Ovis aries: one gene and its partner. The protein of the gene in region 2 interacts with the protein of the main gene of each other region in a pairwise test. Links are inferred from orthologs where the notes say so. Each region holds a gene or a part of one and is shown on either strand. Other genes may lie near its edges. The genes, in order: UBL5 and CLK4.

The links.
Region 1: the proteins of CLK4 (region 2) and UBL5 interact in a two-hybrid assay, tested with the Homo sapiens proteins (2 studies listed by BioGRID and IntAct). The link is inferred for Ovis aries from reciprocal best matches to the Homo sapiens genes CLK4 and UBL5.

The regions. Positions count from the first base shown.
Region 1 is NC_056058.1:12,275,518-12,279,132, reverse strand, and holds UBL5 (ubiquitin-like protein 5), read right to left. Parts: upstream 2,053-3,615; 5' UTR 1,941-2,052; intron 1,694-1,940; 5' UTR 1,632-1,693; coding exon 1,576-1,631; intron 1,418-1,575; coding exon 1,334-1,417; intron 1,173-1,333; coding exon 1,135-1,172; intron 702-1,134; coding exon 658-701; 3' UTR 552-657; downstream 1-551. UniProt on the Homo sapiens protein: Ubiquitin-like protein that plays a role in cell proliferation and sister chromatid cohesion by associating with spliceosomal proteins. Participates thereby in pre-mRNA splicing by maintaining spliceosome integrity.
Region 2 is NC_056058.1:37,441,555-37,445,925, forward strand, and holds the start of CLK4 (dual specificity protein kinase CLK4), read right to left. Parts: upstream 2,881-4,371; 5' UTR 2,796-2,880; intron 1-2,795. UniProt on the Homo sapiens protein: Dual specificity kinase acting on both serine/threonine and tyrosine-containing substrates.

The DNA of each region.
Region 1 (3,615 bases), about 25 Mb from region 2:
AATGAAGGTTAAGGGAGATTAAGTAACTACCCAGGGTCACAGTTGGTGGTAGGGCTGGGGTTCCACCCCTAGTCTGTCTGAATCTAAACCTGTATTCCTAATTATTAATTCTACTAAGGTCCTTGCCCAGAGGATCCTTGGTCTATTGATGACAATAATCCCAGGATCTTTTGACCTTCAGAAAAGTGTTAGTCACTCAGTTGTGTCCAACTCTTTGTGACCCCATGGACTGTAGCCTGCCCGGCTCCTCTGTTCATGGAATTCTCCAGGCAAGAATACAGCAATGGATTGCCATTCTCTTCTCCAGGGGATCAAACCCAGGTCTCCCGCATAGCAGGCGGATTCTTTACTGTCTGAGCCACCAGGGAGGCTCAGAGACATGGCTAGCCCCAGAGCTCTGGTCTTTCACTCAGGTTCCCAGTCAACTGGCTCCCTCCTTGATCCAATCTTGAAGTCTTACTGAGCAGCTGAGTGGGTACTGAGAATACAGTGACAACCAGATACCAACCCTCCCCTCAAGAGATAAGTCTCACTCAAAGATGACAACAAAGCAGCCTCTAAGTTTTTATTAATGAGAGTTTCCAAAAACAAGCATCCATATTAGTGTGGGGAGTGAGGGTGGGAGGAGGGGGAAGGGCAGGAAGAAGGAATTCTGCTCTATTGGTAATAAAGCTCCAGGTTCATCCCATCGTGGATTTCATCTGAAGTGAAGGTGTTAAGGAATCCTTATGGTGGGCTCCATCCCCATCCCCATCTCTCACGACTGCACATTTGGGACTGGATCATTTTGATTTGGAACGAATCCAAACTTTGTAAAAAGTTCATGTTCCTTCTGCACAACAGACATCCTGGAATCTCGTTCCACCCTGGTCTCCTGTCCCCACTCAGGTGGAGCTTAGTAATAAATATTTTGACCAGAAAGTGTCAAAGTCTTACAAGCCAAGTCAAAATATTTCACCAACCACCCTCCTCCCCCAACAAAATAATGAGATGGCTCCCACTCTAAATACTTACTATGTGCCACGTTCTAAGTTAAATAGCTTATGTGCATAACCTCATACAGACCTGAGTATTGAACATAGAGAACCAAGTCTGGGTATGTAGATCCTTCCTCAAAAAGTCAAAAAAGGATACAGTCCCCAAGAGACACGTGGTCCTTAAAAATCGTGTACCTGTGGGATAAAAACTTTTTAGAAAAAAGTCTAAGGAGGCTCTTCACCCCCGAGACCAGCTAAAAAAGTTCTGCCTAAACAAAGGGCTGGCTGCAGCCCTCCCCCAACCAAACCCTTCTGGCCTGCTCCTGTCCAGCCCCTAGTTCGACCCCTGTACTCACCACTTCTTCAATACGATCTTGTTCCAACGGGTGCCAGTTTGGGCTGCGATCAGCTTCTTCAGGTCCCCGATGGTGTCATCCGTACTGGACGCAGAGGAGTTAAGGAAAATGGAAAGGGGACTCTCCCCATTCCCACCCCAACCCCCGGGTTTAACTACAATCACCCTAAAACAAAGATTGAGTTGCCTGCCTCATGCCAAGCACCCCCAGGAAGCCACAGCCACTTGGTCGCCAGTGGATACTTGCACTTAACGCGCACTTTCTTCCCCAGACGGTCGTTGCAAACAACCTCAATCATCCTGGCTGGAGCAACACAAGGCGGGGACTGGGAGGCAACTGAGTCGGGACTTCAGGGGTCCCCTAGATCGCAAGACCCCCGGTTATTGAAACTTAACGTTCACGTCCCCATCATTCCCCCAGATCGGAGTCTCCCCAGGCTCCAAGTTCCGTGTCCCAGGACTTCGGACCCCAGGGCTACCGCGGACGCCGGGCAGCCGTGCTCCTCCCCTCCAGCAACCCGCCCAGGCCCCGACCCACTCCAGGTAGCCTGAAGACCGAGCCGAGCCTCTCTCAGGCCGGCGGATCCTCGAAGGCCGGGTCCCCTCACCTTTCCCGGACTCCGGACTCCTCTACCTGGCCCCCTCACCTCAAATCGCCTGGAAGCAGCAGACGCCACAACCTCCTAGCACGACTGCTAAGCCTAGGCCAGAGCAGACACTAAGAACCTACGCTAAAACAGGAAGCGGAAGTGCGCAGCCGGAAGCTCCACCCCTCCCCCCGGTGCCTGTCAACACGCCGCGGAGTGCTCATCCCAGGGTAGGATGTGGGTTTGCAGTTCCCAGGAGCGGTTTTGGGCTTCCAAGCCTGGGCAGGGGGACACCTGTGGACGGAGCGTTGGGCCGAGTGAAGGTCCCGGCTGGGGAGAGGAGTGGAGTGTCAGAGGTCTTGGACCGGCGTCCAGCCTTTCGGAGGCCCTTGGTTGAAGGCCCTTCGTTGTGCCGAGACACCCTCTAGTGTAGCATCTGGTGGGGACGCCCAGGCACATCCCGAGAGAACAGGGTTGACCTCCTGTTCCTGAGCCCAACGAAGTCTCTAACAGAAGCTTCAGGGCTACGGGGAGCCTGGATCAAGTCCTGCAGTTGTACTATACGTCCCCCTGCCTTCATTCAGGGCTGGACCCCGGAAGCGTTTTACTAATCCCTCCCCTCTGGCTATCTCGCCTGTCCCCAGGGACATCTGGGTTGCTGGCTACAATCCGTAAGTGAAGGAGTCTTCTGATTCTGGCCTGGGTACCAGCACTTACCAGCACTCCAGAATGAAGTTCAGCACTTACCAGAATGCAGCACTGATGAGGAACCACCTGGTGGAAACCAGCACACGTGCAAGAGTTCCCAGATCTTTGACTTCAAGGAAAGTCGCTCCTGCCCTACAGAGGGCGCTGTGTACCAGATCCCAACCTTGCTTTTCAGCCCCAGAGCAGCCCCCGGACTGATATGGTTCCCCAGAGCTGGTGGGACAGGGAACACCCCTTCCTAAATCCAACCTGCCTGTAGAACTCACTATTGAACAGTTTCTTCTCAGCAGACAGAATTCTCCTAGTTTGACAAGCCTAAAACGATTCACTCTGAAAAGGGGCTGGCAACTTCTGATTCACCCAATCCACCTTCTCAAAATAGGGTGTGAGATTAGGCAGAAGACCTGAGATACCTTCCTGGGGAAAGGATGGATACTCTGCGACCCTGTTGGGGCTGCCCTGACTTAAGGAACTGGCTCAAGAAGTGCCATCTCAAACACTAGTCTCCAGGGCCTTCCTGCCTCAGGACTTTTTCTTTTTTTCTGCCTCAGGGCAGAAATTTGTTATTTCTCCAACCTCTGCAGAATCCCACTAAGTGGGCTTCAGAGGGCAGGGAATCTTAATGGAAAGTTTATTCAGATTGGAGACACAGATCCAGATGATGAATCAAAACCTCAGTCTCATTCCTTAATGTTAAGCTGCATGGTCTCAACGGGCTTCCAGATGGCGCTAGTGGTAAAGAACCCACCTGCCTGGGTCGTGAAGATCCTCTGGAGAAGGAAAAGTACAAGCCAAAAGTAAGACCACACTCCTGGCCTCATTCTCTCTCCTGAGTTGAAGCCTTTTTCAGTGTATTTCTGTAAACTTCCATTAAAAAAATTGTTTTAATTAATATTTATTTTTAGTTATTTACTTGGCAGCACGTGTCATGCAAACCCTTAGTTGTGGCATGTGGGATCTGGTTCCCTGACCAGGGATTGAACCACGT
Region 2 (4,371 bases):
AGACCTTCATACTTTCTTTTTCAATTATTCTGGATAAATTCTCAGTTTGGTGCTTGTCTTCAACTAACATTCGCTAACTGCTATTTTAAAAATAAAGAGTCAGGATTCAGGCTTAGAGTCTTTCTCTTGTGTCTCCTGTCTTGGCAGGTGGATTCTTTACCACTGCACCATCTGGGAAGCTTTCTTACCTTTTTCCTATGGTAAATTACTAATAACCTCTTAAATTACTGCTATTATCAAACTCTAAGTTATTGATGTTAACTTTAAAGGTGAGCTAGTTTAAAACAAGTATCACCAAGTATAATGCACCTTTGGCAAAACACTGTAACACAAATAACTGAAGTCAGAGAAATACTTAGGGATACTAATACAGGAGATGACTTTGTTTTAAAGGTAAGAGCCACTAATGAAGATCCTTTTGCTCTGTCAAGAGTCCCATTCTCTAAATCTTGAGAATGACTCTCAGCTTTGAATAGAACTCAGGGTGTGAATAGAACACAGTATTCAACTGAGAACCTGAAGAGCAATAAAAAGCCATTTTATGAACTCATTTCTTCTAACCACAAGTTTATTTTCAAATCATCCTGGAGCCTTCTTAAAATTAAACATATCTGTTGTAGATCTGGCATGACTAAGAAAATGAACCTATAAGGACGAATATGGTCACACCGAAATCAGACAGCAACCTACAAACTTCATTAAGTTTTTTAGGATCTGTATTCTAACAAGTCATCTCTATGCCTCTCCACATCTTAGCTCTTTCACAAAGCAGCTTTGTTTTTAACAGCTGTCCAAACTCTGTTGAAGGCCCTGAGTTTCACAACCAAGCAAGGAGCTGAAAAAGGTAAACTGGAACAAAGCCAGCTTAGTTAACCTCCTTCAGTTTGACCAAATGACTCAGTAACAAGCAAATGAATTCAAGTAACACAACTTAAATGATTTCAAATGGTTTACAAAAGATTTTGAAATGAGGCATCTCCTGGGAGGTATTTCCTAAGAAAATATAGCTAAAATGCCATCAAAGCCTGAAGCCACTAATACTCAGGTCTTTTAACTCACTTCTCTTACTGATTCTAACGCTATGCCCATCACACATACTTCTGATATGCAGCTTCTCTTTTAGCTTGCTTTAAAAAAGACAGACAAGGCACTGGTTAAGTTAAACAAAAGCTCTAAAACTCTAGTTAGGGTTCTCACTGGAAATTGGTAAGTGAGCATTTGGATTTGACCTATTCATAGGTCATTTGAATATGGGAAACTGAAATAAATCACACTATAAATTAAGGAGCAAAAAAGACCATCAGAAAAGCCATAAAAAGAACTCTATTTTTAGTGGAATTCTTCTGACCCTTTGATTACCCCAACTGTATTTTAATCACAAAGGAACTTTAAAATTGCTTAGTTAAGCATTCTTAAATCATACCAAGCAAAATCCCATCTGATGTTTGATGCTTATTATTATGACTAATACATAGTTTTTGCAAAACATGTCTGCTTCAGTTTTTTCCTTCTACTGTCAGCCAGCCAAAACTAGCTCACCTGTGAACAAAACGTAATTCTTATATAACCAGTTATCAATGTGCAAATATTAAAATAACAGTCTTGGGAGAGCCAAAGTTTTTTATTTCTCTAGCCAAGTTCACTACTTTCGTTTTAATTCATGTTAGGAAGCCCTCCTTCACTGCTATTCAGAATTATTTTCTTAGGAGGCCAAGAAAAGAATCCCGGACCCAGGTTACACAAATTAAGTTCCTTCACATACAAAACAAAAAACAAAAACAAAAACCCAACCCCCTAAAATTACTGCATTACCTCTAACTAGTAAGAATTCTACATGTTAGAACCATCAGACATCTTCCAATAAAAACACCAGATACAAAAAACACCAGATATGTCTATATCCGTCTTGGAAACCTGATTCTCTACTGCCTTTTAACACTCTATTTTACCCAACAATTTTATATCTATATATATGGCTTTAAAATATCTATAAAGGTTAAAGTTATGATTAGATGGCTCCAAGAGGATGTACCTGATAACAAAAAGCCTGAAGGTGTATGTATGGAACACAAGCATACAAAGATAGCTATAAAATGAGATCAGGAGATTGACCCGGTCAGTTTGGAGTGCTGTTTCCAAAGGACAGGATAAGCATACCACGGTTGCTTAAGTAATGAAAGACAGTGTGATTCAAAAGCATCAGAAATGCAAATCTGCTGCAATAATGACACGCTCCACTTTAAAAAGTTTGCACAATGGATGAGTCTCTCCATATTTACATCTCATAAGCACGAGCTAAATTCCACCTGAACTCGCAGACTTGCCCTCGGACGCCCAGTCCACAGCCCCAGCCTATCCGCCAGGGCACTTGGCCAGGGCCTTTGGCGCACTTAAGAGATTTGACCCCGGAAAATCCCCGAATGCTACCAACAGCTGAGGACAGGCACCCAGGGGAAGGTTTGACCTAGGAGTATACTTGCTCCAGGCGGTTCTAGAAGGGTTCCAAGACAGGTCCTCTGACCGGCGGGACGAAGCACGGCCTAAGTTGCCATGATGCGAGAGGCCTGGGTGCTCTGAAAAAACCTAGCGGCAGAGCCGAGGCCTTTTATCCCTAAGATTTTAAATCTACTATGACGCCCGGGCAACTTTAGGTTTTAAATGTCACAAGCAGAGCTGTGTCCCAAGCGCACCCCGGTCGCCAAGGCCCCGAATCCCGTCGTTTTTCCGACACCTGGCTTCGAGACTTACAAAACTGGGAAGCCGCCCAGCCCAGAACACAGTGCCTGAAGCCTTACCTCCGCAAAAACAAAAGGCCCTTTGGCCGAGAATTGTCGGCAAACCGCCGTCTTCTCTCTCCAAAAGCTGCGACAAACACCCTACAAAATGGCGGCAGCGCCGTCTCCCTACAACCCCCCGGCAGCCTCTAGCGCCGCCCACACCAGGCGAACGCGCCTGCGTGACAGAGCTCCCGCGCTCCCTCCCCACCCCTAAGGGGCGGGCTCCACGTGACGTCAGGGCTGGCCCCGCCCTCCACCACGCAGTTCTCCCCGCCGAGCAGTCCGCGCCCTGAGACCTGCTTTGGTTGAGGCTGCGCCGTAGATTGTTTTCGTTCTGGGAGCACCTGGGTCAAACTGGGCGGAAACGCCCTAAGCTTGTGGCGCCTGCCTGCAGCTGTGGGAGGGGTTATTCTGAATGCTGCACCTCTCAGCAGAGGCGACGAAAGCTCCGTTTCCTGCCCTTCCGCCCAAGTGGGCCGCACCATGGCACTTTGGCTGCCTGCCTTCCGCCTACCGGAGGACCTCAGTTCAGTTCAGTCGCTGAGTCGTGTTCGACTTTTTACGACCCCATGAACCGCAGCACGCCAGGCCTCCCTGTCTATCACCAACTCCCGAAGTTTACTCAAACTCATATCCATTGAGTCAGTGATGGAATCCAACCATCTCATCCTCTGTCGTCCCCTTCTCCTCTGGCCCTCAATCCCTCAACTCAGGCACAGTCATCACGAAAGAGACAAGCCCCAAATCGGCTCGGTAACCAGGTCCAGACTGGTGCTGGGGATAGTGTAGTTGAGCCTGCTTGCAACTTCCTGTCTAAAAATGGATTCCGATAATTAAGAGGATAGCCTAGGAAACAAGCTCAGAGGTGCTTATCTTTTTAAGGTCTATGCTCCTGAGAGAAACAGCAACAAAAAGAGAAGTTTCTGTTGAGACTCCCTACCTGCCTCCTGAGCAGATTTGGCAGCTAAAGTTTCCCTAACAAAGTTTTCCCTTTTATTTACCCCTGTGGGTTTTATTCAAAGTACCAATGTGAAGTCGCTCAGTCGTGTCCGACTCTTTGCGACCCCATGGACTGTAGCCCACCAGGCTCCTCCATTCATGAAATTTTCTAGGCAAGAGTACTGGAGTGGGTTGCTATTTCCTTCTCCAGGGGATCTTCCCGACCCAGAGATCGAACCCAGGTTTCCAGGAGAATAATATTTGAGAACTAGTGAGCCCAGTTAAAACAAGATATTTCCCAGTTGTAAGAATCCCTGGACCGTTTCCCATTGTGAGCTTTATGTAAGAAAAGAGGGTCAAAATTTAAGCCCTAAGGAGCACTTACGGGGCAGGAAAAAAGCCTGAAAATGAATGATCAGAAGAAGAGGAGAACCGAAAGTTGGTGTCAGAGTAAGGTAGGAGTAAGGATCTGTGTGCTCCGTCGTTAAGTGGTGTCTGACTCTTTGCAACTCCATGGACTGTAGCCTGCCAGAGTCCTCTGTCCATGGGGTTTTCCAGGCAAGAGTACTGGAGTGGGTTGCCATTTCCTACTCCAGTATTCATTAGAAGGACTGATGCTGAAGCTGAAGCTTCAGTACTTTGGCTGCCTGATTGG